3 linked regions of the Astyanax mexicanus genome follow. The protein of the gene in region 1 binds, or shares a complex with, the protein of each later gene. Links are inferred from orthologs where the notes say so. Each region holds a gene or a part of one and is shown in the gene's direction. Other genes may lie near its edges. The genes, in order: mks1, ahi1 and tmem231.

The links.
Region 2: mks1 (region 1) and ahi1 share a complex: the UniProt entries of both Homo sapiens proteins name them as parts of the tectonic-like complex. The link is inferred for Astyanax mexicanus from reciprocal best matches to the Homo sapiens genes MKS1 and AHI1.
Region 3: mks1 (region 1) and tmem231 share a complex: the UniProt entries of both Homo sapiens proteins name them as parts of the tectonic-like complex. The link is inferred for Astyanax mexicanus from reciprocal best matches to the Homo sapiens genes MKS1 and TMEM231.

Annotation. Positions count from the first base shown.
Region 1 is NC_064408.1:26,070,656-26,074,411, forward strand, and holds the start of mks1 (Meckel syndrome type 1 protein), read left to right. Parts: upstream 1-990; 5' UTR 991-1,061; coding exon 1,062-1,246; intron 1,247-3,537; exon of another isoform or gene 3,538-3,563; coding exon of another isoform or gene 3,564-3,610; intron 3,611-3,616; exon of another isoform or gene 3,617-3,756. UniProt on the Homo sapiens protein: Component of the tectonic-like complex, a complex localized at the transition zone of primary cilia and acting as a barrier that prevents diffusion of transmembrane proteins between the cilia and plasma membranes.
Region 2 is NC_064421.1:18,203,847-18,207,602, reverse strand, and holds the start of ahi1 (jouberin), read left to right. Parts: upstream 1-980; 5' UTR 981-1,089; intron 1,090-1,798; 5' UTR 1,799-1,847; coding exon 1,848-1,857; intron 1,858-1,961; coding exon 1,962-2,086; intron 2,087-2,820; coding exon 2,821-3,389; intron 3,390-3,586; coding exon 3,587-3,696; intron 3,697-3,756. UniProt on the Homo sapiens protein: Involved in vesicle trafficking and required for ciliogenesis, formation of primary non-motile cilium, and recruitment of RAB8A to the basal body of primary cilium.
Region 3 is NC_064417.1:10,976,247-10,980,002, forward strand, and holds the start of tmem231 (transmembrane protein 231), read left to right. Parts: upstream 1-1,364; 5' UTR 1,365-1,711; coding exon 1,712-1,850; intron 1,851-2,077; coding exon 2,078-2,244; intron 2,245-2,588; coding exon 2,589-2,717; intron 2,718-3,181; coding exon 3,182-3,325; intron 3,326-3,405; coding exon 3,406-3,487; intron 3,488-3,756. UniProt on the Homo sapiens protein: Transmembrane component of the tectonic-like complex, a complex localized at the transition zone of primary cilia and acting as a barrier that prevents diffusion of transmembrane proteins between the cilia and plasma membranes.

The DNA of each region.
Region 1 (3,756 bases):
GAGGGTAGTAGTTAGTAGTTAGCAGTAAACACGTTTAACTAGCTAAGCTAAATAACATCAGCTAACTACTGTATCTCTATAACGTTAGCTCTCAATGGATTTACCATGGCTAGCTGTCTAGTTAGCCAACGTAGCTAACGTTACCACGTATTCATTCAGTATGAATACGGTTTAGCTGGATAAAACACATCGTTGTTACAAAAACGGTCACCTAAGTTTGTTTTAAATCAGACTCCAAGCCATTTAGTAACTAACTAGCCTAGCCTAGCCAACTCTAACGCTACTGTTACTGAAGCGAAGCTGGTTCAGGGAGAGCCTGCCCACAGCTCCACCGTTATAATCAGAAAATGACCTCAAAACGCTAGAGGGAGCCCGCGAGGAAGACCTCAATGAATGGGAGCGAATGGCGCTAAACGGTTAAAAACTCTAATGTAAAATATTTCCTAACTGCTTTACCGAAGTATTCTGTTACATTTAGAAAGTATACTGACGTGTTTTGCCAAAAAGCTAAATAAAACCTACCTATATATTTCTATGTTTCTCCAGCAAACGGATTTTAAGCAGTAATCACGCTAGCATTACAGCTAATGTGAGCTGATGCTGGACAAGTTATAATAGTGCATCTCAAATAAAAAATAGAATATTAATGAAAAGTTACTTTATTTCAGTAATTCAGTTAAAAATGTGAAACACAGTATTACACACAGAGTGATTATTTTAAGTGTTTATTTCTTTTATTGATGATTATGGCTTACAGCCAGTGGAAAAACAAAAATATAGTACCAATATAAGACCAATTGGTACTTTTGGCCGTGTGGGCAGTGTGCCTGATGGAAAATGAAATCCGTATTTCCGTAAAAGTTGTCAGCAGAGGGAAAAATGAAGTGAGAAAACACTACACTGACTTTGGACTTTGGACACAGTGGACCAACACCAGAAGATAACATGGCTTTCCAGACTATCACTGATTGTGGAAACTTCACTCTAGACCTCAAGCAGCTTGGACTCTGTGTCTCTCCACTCTTCTTCCAGACTCTGATCCCTTGATTTGCTAATGGTCAATGATGGTTTGGAGAGCCATGTCATCTGCTGGTGTTGATCCAATTTGTTATATCAAGTCCAAAGTCAGTGCAGTGTTTTCCTGGAAAATCTTACAACACTTCATTCTTCTCTCTGCTGACAGATGTAATGGAGATGCGGATTTTATTTTCCAGCAGGACGTGGCACACTGCCCACACTGCGAAAGGTACCAATTGGTCTTATATCATATTCTGAGACACTGATTTTTAAGTTTTCATTAGCTGTACACCATAATCATCAACAATAAAATAGAACACTGTGTGTGTAATACATCTATATAATATATGAATTTTACATTTTGAACTGAATTACTAAACTTTTCAATGATATTCATTTTTTTTAGATGAACTAGTATAGCTAGCAAGATACCTGAGTTTAAAAGTCTTAAAATTTAAACTCAGGTATCTTGTACTCAGGTATTTTTGTACTTAACCTCTTCTATTATTTGCACTTCAATATTGTAAGTCGCTTTGGACAAAAGCGTCTGCCAAATGTAATGTAATGTAATGTAATGTAAAATTGGGGTTTAAACATTTTTATGTCTTCGGTACTAAAACATCTGAAGTTCTATGAAAATATAAAACTTATTTATACAAACATTCATAAACTATGATTTTGCTCAAACGCTAAAGGTACCCATTCATTTTTATTTTGGAATCACCCTGGAGCGCCCTCTGGTGTCTGACAAACCCGAAAGAGACCACTGAAGTAGGTAGTCTCCTCTGTAGAGGGTCTCTGACAAAGCAGCATTTAAGCTTTAGCGCACACGCACGTGGAAAGGAGTTCCGGTCACCTTCGCCCAGATCCCCCAATAGGAGCTCTGGTTAATGGGCGCGCCTCGAATCGACTCCTTGCCCCCTACGTAGTGAAAATTCGAACACCCCTTTTTTAGGGTTGGGTGGGCTTTTTTCTAAGGTGGCCGAGTGAAATGACCAGCCCGGTATAATACTATGATAAATAAATAATACTTTATTTATTTATTTATACATACTTTGAGAATAATATTTATTCTTCATTTTATTTTAGCTTTAGTGTTTTGAACACTGGCATGCTGTTTACTAGCAACTGCTTGAAAGCTGGATGTCAGTCAAGATCAGTGACTAATCTAGTGCCCATTATGAACAGAGTACATTGTGTTTAGCTAAATAACCACAAACATCTTTTTTTTTAACCACAAACATCATTAGCTATCTGTGTTTGCATTTATGACTTAAACAGGCTACCTACACTTGTTCCCTAAAAAAGTCAAATTGAGACTTACCCTTTGTTAGAGTTTACGCAAAGAATCTTTAGAGGGGAGAATACCCACTCGAGAATTTGTTACGGCTTTGTCACAGCACCAGAGGGCGCACCTTGACTGAGTCCAAAATGAGTGGATTCTTATGGAGGAATTTAGAAAAATCAGAGTTATAAATGTTACTTTCTATATTTAAAGAAATGCCTTGAATTGGGACTTTTTCACAAATTGATTATTGTGTTTATCAAAACTAGATTGGCTTCCAGTCTATTTTAGGATAGATTTTAAAGTACTGCTATTAGTTTTAAGGCATTACATGGATTGGCACCATCATAAATTACAGATTGTCTATCTCTATATGTTTCAAGTCATTGTTTAAGATCAAGCACTGCAAGTCTGCTTACAGTACCTAAAATTAATAAGAACCAAAAAGTGGGGGGGGGGGGATTATGTTTTTTATGCACCAAAGAAATATAACAGCTTACAAATAGAGATTAGACAGAGTCAGAAAACAGTTTCAAAAAGTATCTGAAGACATATATCTATAATCTTTTATTTTAATAATTGATTTGTTCATTTTATCATATATTATTTTATAGTTTGTATATATATTTTATATCTGCAATCTTTTGCAATCTTACTTTACTTTTTTATTTGCTCTTTTTGTCATTTTACACTGCATTTCTATTTATATATTTTTATTATTGTTTAACGTTGATTTTATTGCATTTTATCTAGTAAATTTTAATTTACTTGTTTCTTTTATTACTTTTCTAAAGTTTTAACCTCTTAGCTCCATTTACATTATTCATTTAGGACTCGCGGGCTCCCTCTAGCGGTTCCTTGTCGTTTAATGCTGCAGCGATTCTGCTTGTTAAATGATCAGGCTCTCTATAAACTGCCTCTTGCCAAAGACTTTTTACAGGCAAGACAGTTCACTTGACCGCCATCTCGCGACGCTTATGATCTTCTCGTGCAAGACCAGCCTCCTATCTGTTTGAATGGGAAGAGACCAAAATACTCTAAATAGAAGGCATAATTACAAGTTTAACATCATATTTTACATTACTGATAAAATTGACAAATATATAATTAAAACAATGTTTAACGTTTTTTACAAAAATGTACAAAAAACGTCTTTTTTCGGTTTGTTATGGCTACTGCGCCTGCGCACAACTCCACACTTAGCACTAGCAGCAAGCTGAGTGGCTCTCATTAGTACAGCGGTGAGTGGTCTGTCTCCTCAATGATAGGATCTCTGCTCTGGTTTACGGCGCAGTACTCAGCCCTACGGTTTGTTTCCAAGCAACAAGACGCTAATGTGAGATTAGCCCGTTAGCTAGTTAGTTAGCGTTGGCTAACCTAGCCCATTTACTAGACTATTTTTCACATGTAAAATAGAGTTCTGTGGACTGAGTGTGTTGGACTACAGCTTGGTG
Region 2 (3,756 bases), on another chromosome or scaffold:
ACTCTCATATGTTTTCTCAAAAAACTTAAGACTTGAGTTGGGCAGTTATTTTAGGAAGGTGTCAATATGAAAGTTCACAATATATTAGTGCAACCCAAAAAATAGATAATCATTAAAAAGTTAATTTATTTCAGTAATCCAGTTTAAAATGTGAAACTCGTATATTATTTAGATGTCTTACACACAGAGTGATATATTTTAAGCATTTATTTCTTATATTGTTGATGATTATGGCTTACAGCCAATAAAACCCTCAAAAACAGTGTAAATTTAAAAGTGTAAAATTAAATCTGCATCACGGATCTCCTTGTAGAAGCTGCACTGACTTTGGACTTGATATAACACAGTGGACCAACACCAGCAAATGACATGGCTCTCCAAACCATCACAGATCAACAGTAAATTCTGCATTTTATTTGGAAATCAAGGGACCAGAGTCTGGAGGAAGAGTGGAGACGTGCACAGTCTAAGCTGCTTAAGGTCTAGTGTGAATCCACACTGAGTGAAGGTTTGGAGAGGTGTCATCTGCTGTTGTTGGTCCACTGTGTTATGTGTTTTTTCCCTCTGCTTCACTCTCCCTCTGACAGCTGTTATGGAGATGCGGATATCATTTTCCAGCAGGACCTGACACACTGACCACAGGGCAAAAAGTATCAATTAGTCTTATATAATTTAAAAAAATTCAGAGGCACTGATTTCTGGGTTTTTATTGGCTGTACGCCATAATCATCAACAATAAAATAAATAAACGCATAAAATATGTCACTCTCTGTGTAATACATCTGTATAATACATGAGTTTCACATTTTAAACTGAATTACTGAAATAAAGTTACTTTTTTCAATGATATTCAATTATTTTTAGATACACTTTTAGATGCTCTAACGCTGGCTGGTGAGAGTCAGACACGTTGCGCATGTCTGTTTGTTCCACCAGAATGCGCAGTCTGATTCCGCTTTTTATTGGCTGTCTTTGAGGTAACAACACACAAGGGGCGGGGCTAAAACTTGTTTATTGTTGGCTGCCATCGCAACGAGTCAGCGGCTAACGGACTGTAAACGTTTTCATAGGATATGGTTTGATTTTCAGGTAAATAATCCTGTTTTGTACAACAGACACTTTTATTAACTACGCGACCCATCTAAAAAAAGGCGGGCTGTTACACTGGGGTCGCTGTTAGTTAAGGAATTAACTGGCTAGGCTGTATCCTACTGTAGTAACACGTTAGCCAGCTAGCAGTCCTGCTAATCTATGGGACAGTGTTTTCAGTGAGAGAGCGGAGATTCATTCTCAGGGGGCGGCTAATGTCCTCTCGGGCGCCGTTATAGCCGGGAATGTTAAACCAGGCACAGCAAGTTCTGTTGTTGAGTGGAGTTTAGAAACTGAAAATGGCCTGTGGCCCCTTTTTCTCTATGAGTGTAGCTTATTTAGTGTTTGGTACTGCAGTAGAGCTAGCTAGCGTTAACTCAGCAAAGTCAGCACCAGACAAGATTGATTTCGCGGTTAGCTGATCAGCTAGCTCGGTTACCTAAGCTAGGCTAGCAAGCTGCCTTACATCATGACTCCTGTACCGAGCTATTTTAACCAGCTTAAGCCAATAGAATTCACTAAAGGCTAATTAAAGCTTCTTCTGGATTCAAAACACTGGCTGTCTCGTTAGCTAGCAACAATCTAGCTAGCTAACTACATTTGAACCAATAATCGGCTAGCTAAACTAGATAGGTTAACTAAGTTACTTCTCCTGCTTTGTTTGACAGTTTAACTAGCTAAGATAAATAACGTTAACCTATGTTTTCAGTTTCAGGGATCTTTTGTGCACAGAATGACTTTGCTCCCAGTGCTTGAGGATGCCGGCAGGTAATCACACTTTAATTAATGTTACCATCCAAACCATACCAATCCAAACATATACTGATTACCTTGCATGTGGACGGGCAACTAATACTGTTTGTGATGAACAGGTCAGAGTGATGTGAGAGCAAAGACTAGAGCCCGTTTTGACGAGGTGTTAAAGAGATACACAAACCCTCCCTCAGAGAAAAAGAAGTCCAAACAGCGAGGAGTCGAGCTGCAGGAGAATGTTGTGGTAGGTTACGTGGTTATGGAATGTTTAGGGCTATCAAATATGAAATAATAATAAAATAATAATAATAATACAATTATTTTCTCTCAGTCTTGATAAATAAAGTACCAGCTAAAAGTTTGTCTGTTTTTTGTTATTTTTTCCCCTACAATGTTAATGAATACTGAAGTCATCCAGACTATGAATGAACACATAAGGAATCATGTAGTAAACTTCCAAGTGTTTAACAAACCAAAATACTCTGTGAAGCATTGAGGTGGCTCTTATCTGGGGTGCTGTTAACCTGCAGTTCTGAGGCTGGTAACTGAACTTATTGGTCCTAATGAGTGCCAGTTTTATCATAATGTTTTGATTGGTCTTTGCAAGTGCATTTGAGGATGCTTTCAAAGTTTCGGATTTAATTTTTTAAAGTATTTCTAAAGTATTTTTTTTTCCTTCCTTAGTTGAGAGGTCTTGCCATAATATGAATTAAAACATTACTCAAATAGGGCTATTTAATATATACCAAGTCTACATCTTCACAACACAACTGATGCTCTCAAACTTTTTAAGAGGGCAAGAAATTCAAGCAATTATCTCTTGACAAGTTCAGCACAGCTGTTACCTGAAAGTCATTCCAGGTGACTACCTCATAAAGCTGACTAAAAAAATGGCAGAAAAAAAACATGAAACATGAAACAACAATATCTTACTCTGTCATATTTTAAAACTTGATTTGTTCTTGTAATCCCTTTTAGCTTCAGACATTGAGCAAAAACTTGGATTTAAGTAAAACCACAGAAGAAGATGAGACCATTCTCAATAACACGTATGACCCTACACAGGGTAGCCCAAGGTACACTAAGAACAGACGCAGGGAGGTCGAGGTGTCAGAGAAGATCAATGTCAGCAATAATGTAAATGGAGAGAAGTCCCCACTGGCCTCAGGAAAGAAGAAGACTAAAAGAAAGCTGCCCCCACACCCACTTGTTCAGGATGAAGTAGACACAGACAGAAATGCTGCAAACTCTGAAACAAAAGTCACTGTTGAACCAGACTGGGGGCAGAACAGAAAGGGTAAAAGAGGGAAGAGCAGAGGCGGAAACAGAGATAGTGGACACAACGCAGGCTCTGAACCTGAAGATGATCTTCTCAAAGAATATCAGCAACAGATTAGTCAAGATGAGGAGAGGGCTATAAAGAAAACAACTCATAACAGACAAGATGAAAAGTTGCCCAGGAGCCAGGAAACCTCAGTATTAAACAATGAGCTCGGAAAGAAGAAGAAAAAGAAGAAGAACCTGAGGGGTAGTGATGAGGATGAAAGGTAATTTACAGAAAGCATTTGTTTTTTAGTCGTTTGTGTGTGTGTGTGTGTGTGTGAGAGAGAAAGATCTTGTTCCTTAGGTTTTAAAGCATATTGCAAATATTGCATATAATGCAAGTGATCCTTATTCTTTGTTTTTACATTACCCAGTTATCAAAGCTTTTATATATTTTTTTTCCATTGAAATTTCACCACAGCCATTCTGAATTTGAGAAAATAAAGGAGCCTATTCAAGGTGATGCTGTAGAAGAAGACACCGTAGATACAGCAAAACCCAAAGGAAAAAAGAAGAAGAAAAGAAAAGATGGTAAGTCATGTAACACCTGCCAGTCATTCTAGTGAAACTGTAAGATTTATGAAGTATTTA
Region 3 (3,756 bases), on another chromosome or scaffold:
AGACAGAAACGGAGATTATCCTGAAAACAGCAGCGGTGTCAACACTCCGCCTGCATTAGCCTTAGCACTAGCATTAGCTTTAGCACTGCTGGACGGACGGCTGACGTCATGCAGGTCATACCAACCAGCTCTGTGGGGGATGTGCCGAAACAGGACTCGGGTTAAATCCTGCACCCGGTGACCAACCACATTCCCCAAAGATTTTGATTTGTAAATATGTAAATATTGTTTGTATTATATTAAGCTTGAAATATACATTTAACGCATAATTCATATTATAACACATAGTTTTATTATTTGTGGGAAGCACCTTTATCCTAAAAAGCATTAACTTGAAAAGTGTTAAAAGAGCCTTAATCATTTAAAACCTTTAAGTGAACGTTGATTCAATTCAGGTAGCCAATGTTAGATAAAGGTTGTATAATCAATATTATATATATATATATATATATATATATATATATATATATATATATATATATATATATATATATATATATATATATATATATATATATATAAGGTTTAGTGTTAGTGTTCTTTGATATAAGTGGGAGGGTGGCCTACAGGCTTGTTTTTTTTTTTTTTACATTTATATTTATCCTTACAACTGAATATGGGCTTTTCATATTGTTTAGCAATTGAAAAAAAAAATAATGTACGTTCACCATAATTCTGAATATATGTCTGGAAAACCTTTTATTAGGACATGTTTGTTAAATGTAAATTATCATTGTATATATGTTTTTTTTATTGTCCTTTATTTTATTTATCGTATTAATAATTGTCTTGCATTCTAATCAGTCATGAAATCAAGTGGACCAAATAGTCTGAAATGTCCAATTCAGTAATCAGATCAGTTTCACACACAGTATACCAGAAACCAGGAGAGCTATGTCCAGACGTTTGTCTCTAACCATTGTTTTAAATATTGTCATAAAAAAAAAAATTAGGCCTAATATACTATTAAGGCTATTTATTGGTTAATGAGTATGTTATAAATACTGGTAATTCTGTGGCCTTTGTTATGCCCATATTTGGGCTTCAGCTTCTTAGCTTGATTTTCAGTGGCAGAGTTCATTTTTAAATCACCTATATGTTCTGTGGTGATTAAATACAGAATATAACACTTTTGTGTACGTGTTTCTCCTGCACATCACGTTAAAATAACATTCCTGGAACACTATCTGTAATGTTCCTTCCTGGGACCTTTTTTAAAACGTTGCAAAAAAAAAAGTAATAAATCTGTTTTAAATGGTAGCTTTATTTTGGTATGATTTAAGTTTTTTGCTAAGAGGTGGAATAATAAATATATTTGACAACAGAGGGGGTGGGGCGTGGGTGGCCATGGTAACTGTGGGCGGATGTTCGCTTTCTGTTTCCTGGAGGCGGTCATGGTAACGCTGGGACGCTTCGCTTCAGGAGCAGTTACCGTTAGCATTAGCATTAGCATGGCTTTTAAACCCGAATTAGGCACTGCACGTCTGCGGCCGAACTGATAGATACAGTACATTTAATCCGAATTAAATACGAGAGAAACCGATTCTACAGCACACAACACACCTTAACACATCTCCATTACAGCTTAACCTTAACCAATGCTAACCAGAACAGCCCCACTGTTATTTCTCAGTAGGTTTTAACTGTTCTTCAGAGCGAGTTTAGAACTGTTCTTCAGAGCGAGTTCAGAACAGCGAGGAGGGTTTCAGTGATGGCTTTTTATGAAGTGTACTCCCACCCTGCTTTAATAAGATATAAAACCAATGTGTGTACTCGCGCCACCCTGTTCGTGCTGATGGTTTTCTGTCTTACGTACATCCCGCCACTGCTGGTCGCCTACAAGAGCCAAGGTAAGTGTTCACTACAGCAGCACCTCATTAATACAGCTGGTATACTGTAAGAATTTAGTATATTAACCCCGTGAACTTGCTCATGGACTTACTTAATATACTGGCTGTGCTGACTAGCTTATGAACTCCAGGAGCTCATGTTAAACAGTGCATGGCTTTACTGACTGACACCTCCAATACAGTGCAGCATTTCATCAGTAACTGATGTTTTTTTTCTTTGTTTGCAGGATTCTGGCTGAAGAGAAGCACATATGAGGAGCAGCCGGTTGTGCAGTTCCAGTACCAGATGTTAATGATTGGAGCCACTGGAACAGCAGGAGAATTTGTGGCGTGGAGCACTTTTCCTGACTTTAACCGTCTGCTGGGAAGCAACCTTCGCATCCCTGCAGTGTCTGTAAGTACTACAGACACAGAAATGTACACAAAAGTTTGAATACCACAAACTAGCTAGCACACAACATGTTCCCAGAGTTCACCAGAGCATCACAAACAAAATGTTATTTACTCATAAACACAGGTTCTTTTCTTTGGAAGGCGGTGGATATAATTTTTATGGTGCCTCACCAACACTAGATAGCTTTGGTCTGAGTAGCTCCAAATAACTAAATAGCTTTTGGAGTGTTCGGTTAACACAGCTAGATAGACAGTACAAAGGTGGAAGAAACAAACTTTTGACAGTGGGTGTGGGCATATGAAATAAGTGTATTATGTTTAAAAGCACATGTTTGTGTTTTGCAGGTCAAGGAGGAGGACAGCAATCAGGATGGAAAATCAGACCGGCTGCGTCTCCAGCTCAGTGTTCCACTGAAAGCAGAAGAGCAGATTTACAGCATTCAGCTACTCCTCACCTTCTCATACCAGTTGTTTGTGTGTATCAGCACAGTACCACAAAAACACACCCTAACCCTTAATTTAGGGCAAACTGTCCCAAAATTATTCAACAAAATCCCACAAACACAAGCAAATGCCACCCTACGCCAAATACAGTCCAATGGCAGAAATCACCTCAACTCTACAAAAAACTCTAATACCAAATATATAATAAAACACTTACAAATGCCAGCAGACACTAGGTAATGCCATCAAATGTAATCAGTTTGCATCATACAATATTACATAGCAACAAACATCAGGTGTCAATAGCTGCCATCGAACCAACCAACAATCATCAAAAAATACACTCCACACTCCAACAAACATTAGTAAACAAAACACTGGGTTGTTGTGCCATACATATTTCTGATGCTTTTCTCACTGCATTTGCAATTTTTTTTTTCACTTGATTGAACAAGTGGAACTGTCAGGTTGAATTCATGTCACTCTTTTTGTAGCGGATGTCCACTGTAGTGATGCAGTCTATGGCCTTTATTCAGCACTCCTCCTCCGTTCCTGGATCACAGCTGTTCATCAATGGGGACCTGAGGCTCCACCAACAGATCCCACTGCCACACAGAGGTCTACATGCTGCCTACAATGTGAGAGTTTGTGTTCATACTTTACACCACACTTTTAAATGCTTTTTGTAGGTGTGTTTACGTGCTATATTTCTTTTTAGGTGTCAGTGGTCGAAACAGGGAGTCCCTTCGCTACTTCCTATGACTTGGCCAGCATCATCAGAGCCTATCAAGCAAGAAACTGTAAGAGAAAGTGTTTATATGTATTTGTATATGTCTGTGTTGTAAATTGATAGTTTCCAAAGCAAATATTCCTCCTTAATTCAGTTTTTCTCCTTAATTCAAATGTAAATGTTCAGTCGTAACTCACATTTAATGCCCGTTGAGACGCTTATACAGTGCCCTTCAAAAGTATTTTATTCAAACAATAAATAGCACAGAATGTCTACACTCAGTTTCAGATCTGCAGACTGTGCATTTAAAGTTAGAGAAGTAACCAACATGAAAACCAG